3 linked regions of the Schizosaccharomyces pombe genome follow. The protein of the gene in region 1 interacts with the protein of each later gene in a biochemical or structural test. Each region holds a gene or a part of one and is shown in the gene's direction. Other genes may lie near its edges.

Evidence for each region.
Region 2: the proteins of cam1 (region 1) and mob1 form a complex in vitro, tested with the Schizosaccharomyces pombe proteins (one study listed by BioGRID).
Region 3: the proteins of cam1 (region 1) and ank1 form a complex in vitro, tested with the Schizosaccharomyces pombe proteins (one study listed by BioGRID).

The regions. Positions count from the first base shown.
Region 1 is NC_003424.3:1,443,152-1,446,833, forward strand, and holds cam1 (calmodulin Cam1), read left to right. Parts: upstream 1-1,698; 5' UTR 1,699-1,778; coding exon 1,779-1,781; intron 1,782-1,907; coding exon 1,908-2,357; 3' UTR 2,358-3,182; downstream 3,183-3,682. Other genes in the region: GARP complex subunit Vps53, read left to right, coding at 3,552-3,682. UniProt on the Schizosaccharomyces pombe protein: Calmodulin mediates the control of a large number of enzymes, ion channels and other proteins by Ca(2+). Among the enzymes to be stimulated by the calmodulin-Ca(2+) complex are a number of protein kinases and phosphatases.
Region 2 is NC_003423.3:468,785-471,915, reverse strand, and holds mob1 (Sid2-Mob1 kinase complex regulatory subunit Mob1), read left to right. Parts: upstream 1-1,752; 5' UTR 1,753-1,790; coding exon 1,791-1,965; intron 1,966-2,022; coding exon 2,023-2,422; intron 2,423-2,470; coding exon 2,471-2,528; downstream 2,529-3,131. Other genes in the region: mlg1 (1-acylglycerol-3-phosphate acyltransferase), read right to left, coding at 212-1,264; SPOM_SPBC428.12C (peptidyl-prolyl cis-trans isomerase E), read left to right, coding at 3,087-3,117. UniProt on the Schizosaccharomyces pombe protein: Has a role in promoting the onset of septum formation during the latter stages of mitosis.
Region 3 is NC_003424.3:1,743,368-1,747,316, reverse strand, and holds ank1 (ankyrin repeat-containing protein), read left to right. Parts: upstream 1-1,679; 5' UTR 1,680-1,719; coding exon 1,720-1,744; intron 1,745-1,797; coding exon 1,798-2,082; intron 2,083-2,298; exon of another isoform or gene 2,299-2,366; coding exon 2,367-2,569; 3' UTR 2,570-3,298; downstream 3,299-3,949. Other genes in the region: dal81 (transcription factor), read left to right, coding at 1-399; potassium ion/proton antiporter Kha1, read left to right, coding at 3,816-3,896, 3,939-3,949.

The DNA.
Region 1 (3,682 bases):
ACAGTCTACTAAAAAGGTATGTGGTTCAATAAGGAATTTATTGTAGTTGCACAACAAAATTACGAGATGAATTGAGTAGGAAAATATTCAAACACACGTACTGATAGAGTTCAACAATAAATACTTTAAATTCTCGATCATTCTTATTATTTTATTTTTTATATGTTTATTTTTATTTTTATTTTTTTATTTTTTTTCTATGAAGGATATGAGTACCTCGAATTATTAAAAGTTAAACTTCCCATTTCACAGCATTTTATTAAATCAATTGAGATTTATAAATTTGAATCTTTTAAGGAATTATACTCAAATTTTCATGGTCATTCTGTAGAGATGTCTTTAAACAGGAAGTGCAAAAATTTAAAATTATGAGAATAAACTATAAAATCTTTAAAAACAAAAGACGTCTAAATTTATGATTATTAAAGACAAAAAAATGCTCAATTTGAATTTATTTTTTTATTTTTTTTTGTGTTACATCAATAACAACAAATATTGTTTATTCGATTAAAATATCCGTTCAGACTAAAATCAATAAATTCGGCTACGGTCATTGTATCAGATGTTGAGGTTCTGGATTTTTATACATTGAATAAATCATTTAGAAAAGAATTAATATCGAAATATATACAGGCAATGAAATCCTGCTTGAATAATATATTGTTATTTACTTTTTCAGTTTTCCTTCTTCATTTGAGTGTTCAACTAGAAAAATTATCAGATCAAAATTGGCATATACAAAAAATACAAAAGCAGATTATGCTACACAACAAAAATGCAATTCATAATAAACGTGCAAAAAAACCTTTTAATGAACTGCACTTATCAAAAATGCTTTTGTTTAGCAAATTTTTCAAAGCTATGTCATTTTGCTCAATTATTTGGAGACTTTAAACCGTGACAGTGTTTGTAAATCTGCTCAATAATTAATTTTCCATAAATCAAAATGAAAACAATATTTTCATATCATGAATAATAATATCACTAACTCAACCTCATAGAGGAAAGTGAAAAACACGATTTTCTGTTTACATTCAGCAAAAAATTGCGCTGTAATAACCATTTCCAAATACTGCATTTACAAATATTTTTTGTTAAATCCTTTTGCGATTTAAACATCGAGTACGATATATAAGTTGAATGTCGACAACGTTCCGTTGCGCTATAGCATACTACGTTGTGTATCACTAATTATCACATGTTTGATTTGCTCTGTCAAGCTGTACATGATAAGTTACTTAGGTAGATTACTAAGAGTTATAAAATGAATAACAAAAAAAATAATAGAATGCTTAAATTTTATGAATTGAAATAAACAAAACCTCGTTTCTCTATTCACTTTTATGCTAATTCGGTGATAGGTAACAATATAACCTCTATATCAGAATATCATTCTAAGTTACTAAATGTATTTACCTGTGTACCATAATACAATAGGTCACAAGTAAACCACACGGCAGTTCTAGGTGTCGTTAAATAGATACCAATAAATGCGTAGCTGACATTGAAAAAGTTCCTTCATCCGCCGTTTAGTGGTTTTAGTGCGGTTTATAGCAAGTACGTTACTGGTTTGTTAGAGCATATACGATAATGTAATAAACTCTCATTGTTTGTTGACATCACTGTTGATGGTAGGACTTGCAACATTAGGAAGCGACAACGGTAGTCCTCATTTCTCCAAGGCACTTTAACGTAACTAGAGCAAAACACTAACCGCCAAAAATAAAGGTTAAAAAAAGGAATAGAAGGACTTTAGAGTTACTGATTTTTACCAGAAAATGGTATGTTTATTATATTGTTTGGACATATTCCGATTTTTCCTTTGAAGATTGACTAACAATCGTATGAACGGATGACACTCAGAAAATGATTTCTGAAGTCGTCTACCGTATCGTACATTATTACAGACTACCCGTAACCTTACAGATGAGCAGATTGCAGAATTCCGTGAAGCCTTTTCACTGTTTGATCGTGATCAGGATGGAAATATCACGTCCAATGAATTGGGTGTAGTTATGAGATCGTTAGGTCAATCGCCTACTGCCGCCGAATTACAAGATATGATTAATGAGGTCGATGCCGATGGTAATGGCACAATTGATTTTACCGAATTTTTGACTATGATGGCCCGAAAAATGAAGGATACCGACAACGAAGAGGAAGTTCGCGAAGCCTTTAAAGTCTTCGATAAAGATGGAAATGGATACATTACAGTCGAGGAGTTGACTCATGTGCTTACAAGTCTTGGTGAACGTTTGTCTCAAGAAGAAGTAGCCGATATGATACGTGAAGCCGACACCGATGGCGATGGTGTAATCAACTACGAAGAATTCTCTCGTGTCATTTCTTCCAAGTAGAAGGGTTGGAATTTCTGTGGAATATTTGTAAGCCTTAAAAAAATCAAAATATCCTTGCTGGGGTTTCCACCCTTTTAGTTCTTCTTTATAACCACTCTCCATCGCAATTTGGACAATCTCTTTACCAACTTAACCTCGGCTATTGTCCTTTACTTTTTTTTTCGTCTATGATTTTGAAAAACATTAGTTAGTGTATTACAACGTTTTGGTTGTTTATTTTGCTGGCCTAGGTGTGTCACAAAAGTAACTATGGTAGCATTTGTTGTTACCATTCATCTCATGATCGATCCTATGAATTTTAACGCTTCCTTTGTTTCAACACATAAAGGAATCCTTAAGTCTGGGAACATATACGTTATTGCTATGAGAATACCACGCACTTTTGCATTATTGCATCCTACAATGAATTATTAGAAGCTTCATCTGTCTGTTATATGATGCATTTGCTCGTACTAGTATGTGCCTAGTACTCGCTGTATACGTTGCATTTATGTCCTTGCAATTCCCATGCCCATTATTTAGCTCAATCTTCCTTTTCTTTTTTCCTTCAAGATTTACTGTTCATTATACTAGTCGATGTTAAAATTTTTAGCATTTTTCTAGTTATATGCACTTCTTGAAGCCGTTTTCTCACTCTGGTAGATATACGCTTTGTTTTGTACTTAATACATTACTTTATACAAATACATCTCTCAGTATGAAATTTTGTGCGGCACTTGTCGAAGCTAAGCTATACGTATTAACTAAACATAAATTCATAAATGACATCGTTTATTTTCTTTTTGCATTTCACGTAGTTATTCCGATCGTAAACAGAAATTCATCATTGGAATATGGACATTTCCTAAGAAGGAAGGCTCTGCGCCGGTAAAGTTCAAGTTAGTGAAGTTAAAACTTATCTAAAATTCAACATCATGGTACATATATATTCAAAAAGTTTTTACAAAGTTATCAGTTCTAAACCTCAATGTCCTCCTACTTGCTATTCAAGCCAACCTAACTTCCTCTCACCATCAACCACCCGCTATATGGTTTCGTATATCCCTTCGCCGTCGAAAACTTGTACCTAACTATACGAAATTTTCTTCTTTAAAATTGCCAAAAAAAAAGCTTCGAGTTCTATACTGCGCTGTATTACATAACACTTTGGAATCAAGGGTTAGCAATTACCATAACTAAATTAATTATAGCTCTATGTCGAATGGAAATGATAATTCTCTAATTATCAAAAATATTGGGAATAATGAATTTAAATTTGTAGAAACGCTTCACGAATTATTACCAGAAGATATCACTTATGATGATTTGGGTTCATTACGACTAAG
Region 2 (3,131 bases), on another chromosome or scaffold:
TATCTCGAAATCTCAAAGCTCAAGAGAAAGCTAATGACTATAAAACTATCGTCCGCAATGTATGCGGTAATTCCTTAACACTGAAAATCCAGTTTGCAATCTGTTAAAAAATGTTCATGAAAATCAGTTAATCTATGTAGTGTAAATGGGTAACTTTTCAACCATATGGTTTAGGGAAATGGAAAGAAATGGGTATAAATAACAGTTTTTTCTAGTGAGAAATGAATAGTTTGAGGAACAACCCAGCAACAATGCACGTGAAAAGTACGGAAAACAAAGAAAGAATTTCAAGTCTGTGCTTCAATCGAACAGTCGTATGCAATTTCTTAGGGCCCGGAAAATTCCCTGTTTCAAGAAGCGTATCGATAAGTTTATCTTTCTCATACCATCTTTGATAAAGCCAATCCGTAAACTGATCTTCTTCAGTGGGAATTTCCGAAATTGGGAAGCGACGAACGTGAATATGAAGCCTTTTGATGGGGACTCCTTCAAAAAAGAGCTTAGGTAAAGAGAAAGCATCGGCGGCATATTTCTTAGGAGAGGGATCAGAAAAATAAAATGTGTAATCGTACAAATAAGTCATCGAATCACGAAGCTGACTGATACTATAAAAGAGCCCTCGCACACGTGGGAGCATTAAATGCTTTGGCATTTTGACTCCAATTTTATCGGCATACACCCTGCTCCTTTGATATGTGCTTTCAACCAAGTTGGTTCCTTCTGGGAAGAGAATGAGACTGACGGAATCACGTACATTGCGAATGAACTTGAAATGACGAGACATAGTCTCGTAGTCTTTGTCCCATTTGCGAGAAAGGAAAATGAATCTAAACAATTGCATACCCCAACCTATAACTGGCAACCATTTGAGAGAGTTTTTTAACATAATATAAACATGACCATGCTGTTTAGCAGTGTACGATAACCACCAAACGTACATCCAGTCCGAGTAAAGTTGATGGTTTGCGATAACTATGTTGCGTTCAGCAGCAATTGTTTCCAAGCAACCATTTCTATCCAAATAAAACAAATTTCGAAGCTCGGGATCATAGGTGAGAGTTACAGGAGTCGGACTAAAAAGCTGGACCAAAGCGGTAAACAGAATACCGGCGAATGATTTTGTAAAAGCAATATATTTGTTATAAAGCTCCTTGTTGACAAAATACAGAGGAGTTCCAATAACTTCCGAGGTATAAATGGTAACTGAACCAACAGCCAAACATAATATGAATGAATACTTGCGAATCGCAATTCTGCATGTCATGTTGTCAAACCTAAATGAATTAAAGGAACCTAAATCAAATCTCAAGAAATAAAAGACTGTTAAATAGAATCCAGAGAAAGTTAGCAAAGTCGGTTTTAGTGATGCCCTTTCGCGTTTCTCACCGCACAGTAAAAGTCGTACACGAACACTAAATAGACACCAATTTGAGCAAAAAAAATCCCAAAAAGAAAATTAAAAGCTCTCTGCTTTCTTTTTAATTTCTTAGCCGCACGTTTAGCACCAAAGTGTAATTCAGGGAATGTCAGTGGTTATAGGCAGTGGGTAAAGAAGTAGCGATCGTACGTTGTCAATTTGTAAAAGTGCTCGGACCTAAACATACGGTCGTATGAATATGATAGGTATTCCAGTAATTAATTTGCGCTTAATATTGGTTGGCTGGATGGTCTTGAAAGTTGAACGGTAGAATGACCACGTTTGTTTACGAGGAAGGGACGATGAGTGGAAGGTTGGCACAAACCAAGCCTACCAGAACCCAACTCATACCAACTTTTTTGCATTTTCTTTCATGTTTGGATTTAGTAATAAGACAGCGAAGACATTCCGTGTAAGGAAGACTGAAGCGGGAACGAAGCATTATCAACTACGGCAATATGCTGAAGCAACGCTGGGATCTGGCTCTTTGATGGAAGCAGTAAAACTGCCCAAGGGAGAAGATTTGAATGAATGGATTGCTATGAACAGTAAGCTAAGATATAAAATTGACACTTCAAGAACTTTTATTAATTGAATACTTCTAGCAATGGATTTTTATACACAAATTAATATGTTGTATGGTACAATCACTGAATTTTGTACGGCGGCTTCCTGTCCTCAAATGAATGCTGGACCAAGTTATGAATATTACTGGCAGGATGATAAAATATACACCAAACCCACTCGCATGAGTGCTCCCGACTATATTAACAATCTGTTGGATTGGACTCAAGAAAAGTTGGATGACAAGAAGCTCTTCCCCACTGAGATTGGTGTTGAATTCCCAAAGAATTTTCGCAAAGTGATTCAGCAAATATTTCGAAGGTTGTTTCGCATTTATGCTCATATTTACTGTTCCCACTTTCACGTAATGGTAGCAATGGAGCTTGAAAGCTATCTGAATACATCATTTAAACACTTTGTATTTTTCTGTAGGGAATTTGGGTATGTGTTTCAATTTACTTACTTAAAGATGTTAACAACAAATTTCAGCCTTATGGATAACAAGGAATATGCACCAATGCAAGACTTGGTAGATAGCATGGTTTAAGAACAGTTTTGTAGTTATTCAGGAACAGGAAATGGGAGGTAAACTCGGTTCCCAAACTTACCAATTTAATGTTTTATTTTATCCCTACCATTACCATTTTATCCAGACCTTAGCACAATTTTTTATGGAAAATTTCTTCTTTTCATTTCAATCATTCACTTGAGTGATTACCATAAAGAATAGTTGCTAAAATTACTCTTTCTACTCCTCCACTTTTTTCTTATGACACTGCATTCTTTTAACTACTTTTGAAAAGTGTGGCATATCGCCTTTGCATAGGCTACTTGTGCAAAATATTCTCGCATTCTCTAAAGTGTCTATCTTCATACAATTCATTTTATTTATAACATTTCATGTATCATATGTCTCTGGAATCTTTATTTCAGGTTTCTGTTAAATACCGAAAAAGACTGCATCGTTATTTGAGAAACTACTTACTGAATGGTGGTGGATGTGAGATAGTAAATGTGCGAAATAATCTGAACTTTTTAATTCCCTATTATTTTAGTCTTTTTGCTTTTCATCTTATTTTTTTTTTTTAGTTTTGATGATCTGAGGATGGAAAGAAGGAAAGCAACCGTCCATGTGGGTAAGGATCAATGA
Region 3 (3,949 bases), 300 kb from region 1:
TTGAAACTTAAACTGACAGATGCAGTATATCAGCAAGAAATGTTGAACGTGGTGCAACGTTGTGTTTCTCATTTTCTAGCCATTAACGAATCCCATTTTACTGATTTTTTCTGGCCGTATTCCCAATTCTATTTTTGTATCCTATCATCTGCAATCATTAAGATGTATCTGGACTTTGAGTTTAATGAAAATTTTAATGCTACGACTTTTGGCCTTTTGTCATCTTTCACAAAGCATTGTGTCTGGCTGAAGTTTCGAAATTTTGATTTGGTTTTCATGGCTTATAAGCGATTAAACGCGTTGCTGATTGAATTAAGCTCAGGTAGACCACTTATTGGCAAACTTCTACAAGAAACCTTTGAACATCGAAAGCGTAACTTGGACGAAACCCTGACATAATGATAGTGTTTAGACCTTTCTAATTCTTTTTTTTTTGTTTGGTTTTAAGAGTTGTTAATTGAATACTTATGAGCCTATACCTACCTAATTAAGGATATCTACACATTATTATTTTTTTAGTCAGCTCTAGTTGCTTATATTTTATAAAGTAGTTTAGGATCCTTGTTAATTTGATTAAAGGGCTTCATTAAAAACATCTGATAGAAAAGTTTAAGTGAGTTAGGAATATTCACGAAGGATGGAAAGATAATATTGAAGTGATAACATCCTATCGTTTTATAATGAGATATTGATTGCAACAATAAGGTTTATCAGATCTGAACATATATTTATTTATATTTTAAAGTTTACCAGGTGGAAGCAAAAAAGATCTCCTGAGCCAGAATCGAACTAGCGACCAACCGGTATCATCGAAATTACAGCCGGGTGTGATAACCAACTACACCATCAGGAGTTAGTTGAGAAGTGGTGTCTAATAGAATATATATAATATATGAAAAATTAAATATCTTGTATCTTAAATTAGCCGGAGTAGATTCAAATAATGATGATAATTAGATCCGTACAAGTTTATTAAAAAGATGAATGAAAGTAATAGTAGGCTTGAATTCCATTTTTTAAGAACAAATATGAAAACTCTTGATGTGGATACTAGAAGTCTAAGCAATACAGGTATATAACAATAATCCATATTCTTAAAATGATCATCAGAAAACGCTTATTCTTACATATTTTTACTTCATTACAATTATTTACCAGTTTTTTTCATCTTTTCATACTCTATAGTTTCTTATCAAATATTCCGTATAAATTATTAGAGTTGACTTGTACCAAGATCATCTGTTCAATTGCTTTGTGCATATATTTTACTTATGTTGTTTATTTTTCTTTCAGAGGAAGAAGCCTTTTGGCTGTGTCGAATGCGTAGATATGTTATACAAACGGTTATAATCCGGGATATGAGAACTAAATGTTTGGTCACTATAGGACAGTTTTTCGTTATAAAAGAAATAAATTTAAGTGCTTAAAGTACTAATTTTATTAATTCATTGCTTTATTTAGGTCATATTGCAATCATTGATAAACTCAAAGCAAAGGTTAACATAGGTTCTCAAAATTTTGAAAACCCACTGTTAAATTCATCAATTGCAATACCATTTGGAGAAGTAATGATTAAACAGTTTCTTAGTATATGCTTTGTTTATTCGTAACTGACGAACATTTCCGTCCCCCACGCCCCCCACTTATATATAGAGATCCATTCAGCGGACCGAAGAACTAACATACTTACCAAATACATAATACACTATAGTCACGAGAATGTCAACTGAAGGAGCTAAGCCATGTAAGAGCGCTGCTTGATTTATTGGCTGTATCAAGTTGCTAACGATTTTTTAGCGGAAATGTTAATTGCGGCTTGCCGCTCGAATAATGTTGACATGCTTGAGGAAGTTGTTCACCAACAGGAAGGAGACGGAGTGAGCTTCATCAATAATGCTCGTGATTCACTTGGAAACGATTGTGTTCATGTCTGTACAAAATATGGTTCCCTAGAGTGCCTTGACTGGCTTTTAGATATATCTGGCGTAAATTTGAATAACCGCTGTCGTATGACAGGGGACACACCTTTACACTTTGCCGTTATGTTTATAAAAAAAGATCAGGAAACTGCTTTACGTATGGGTAAGTGAATTTACAAGCCGAAGTGCTAATCATTGCTTTCGTGTTCTTTGTTATTTTCGGAAGTTATGGTCAAAGTCGAGTTGTGTATTTCTACGTTGTTTTACGAATGATTCAACGTATGCAAGATCGCTTATATTATGTAAAATTCAAACAATTCTTTGATATTACTTTCTCATAATTTTGTACTTTGCTTCCGCTTATTTCACAAACATCGATTTTGCTTCGGGATAGTTTATAGTGTTTGCTTTGTTGAGTGTATTTGTCTAACTATTGTTTCATTATAGTGGAGATGCTTATGGAGGTTGGTGCCGATCCGCTTCTTACCAACAACGATGGTTTTCGACCAATTGACCTTGTTCCAGGAGACTTTCACGATGTCTTTGCTTCTGCATTAGAAGGACCTGCGCCTGCTCTTCAATATTCTGCAGATGTCGTTGCTGACGATGACGATGAAGAAGAAGGATCCGGTGAGTCGGATGAAGAATAGTTCCCCTTTAGATATTCTTGATTCGGCTTCCCTGTTGTTCTTCTTCTGTTTGGATTTTGAGAAATACACGTTTTGTAAGAGATGTGGGTTATATTAACGATAAAATATTTGTCATTCTTGGGGATTATTCGATTTCTTTCTCCTTAATTGCGAAAGTTGTAAGTTATGATTTTGGCTGCTTCTCAGTGTATTGAAATTCCATTGGACGCTTTAGCTTTCCTTTCAGCTGCAATCCAGTATTATGTTTGTTGTTTGTTCATTCTTTCATAGACGCTCCAGAGAACGATGTGTTCTACTCCTTAGATACCTAAATGCGGCTTTAAAATTTCACTGCGCAACTTTTGACAACGTCACAGGCCGTAGGCTGTATGTTAACTTTTAGCCCTTTATAACCTCATCCAATGAATATGCTATAGTTTTTTTAAAACGTTAGCATATTCATTCCGATTATGCTGCTTTTCTCGATACTTTATTGAAAAAAATCGAAATCGTTGTTACAAGTAACACTTTCTTTTGGGTGTCGATAAACAAGTCTGTATTAGAAAATTTGGCATTAATTAGGATTTGGAATTTTTTATGGATTTCTGTAATACCTTAATTGCTTGCAGATTTGTGTCGTATTCTAAAGATTACTTTTTCTTGTTTCTTCTGATATGCTGCTAATGTTAATATTTTCAATTTTCTTTTATTTTTTAGAGAAGCAATATAAAATTTATACACGTTTAAATAATTTCGAGTATCTTATATGAAAGTTTTGTGGGGTACTTTTAACAATCGCTCATATTAGAGGAAAGGAACCATGACGGTTCATCAAAAAGTACTGCATTTATTAAAAAATATTCAATAGGTTTCTGCTTTCTATTAGTAAATCCGCTACACTTATAAAATTGGTACCCGAGTTCGCCGTCCCTAAGACGGTGTTTGTCAGTTTTTAAATTTGAAGGTTCCGTTTGTGTCTCACAACTTACATTACCTAAAATAAATTAAACTCATAGCATGTTAATAAGTCTCAATTTTTTATTCGCTAAAAACACGAGGGTATATTGCTGTAAAAACTTACCACTAAGCAACTAGCACCTCGCCATTACTATATGCAATGTGTGTTAGGGTTCATAAAAAATTGCAAACTTAAGTCGATTGAAGTTATCTTAACTCGCATATAATCGAATATAGCAGTAGGTGCATCAATGACTATATTTCAAATATCAATCGGTTTGTTCATATAACAACTAATCCGCTGTTAGGCATGTCAACGCAAAGCATATTTGACGGCGATAATGTCGTTGTCTACAGTGCATCGGACCCATTGCTTTTGTTCATCGTACAGGTATGTCTCATTTAATGGGAAATTTTATAATAACAACTTTAGGCAATCATTAT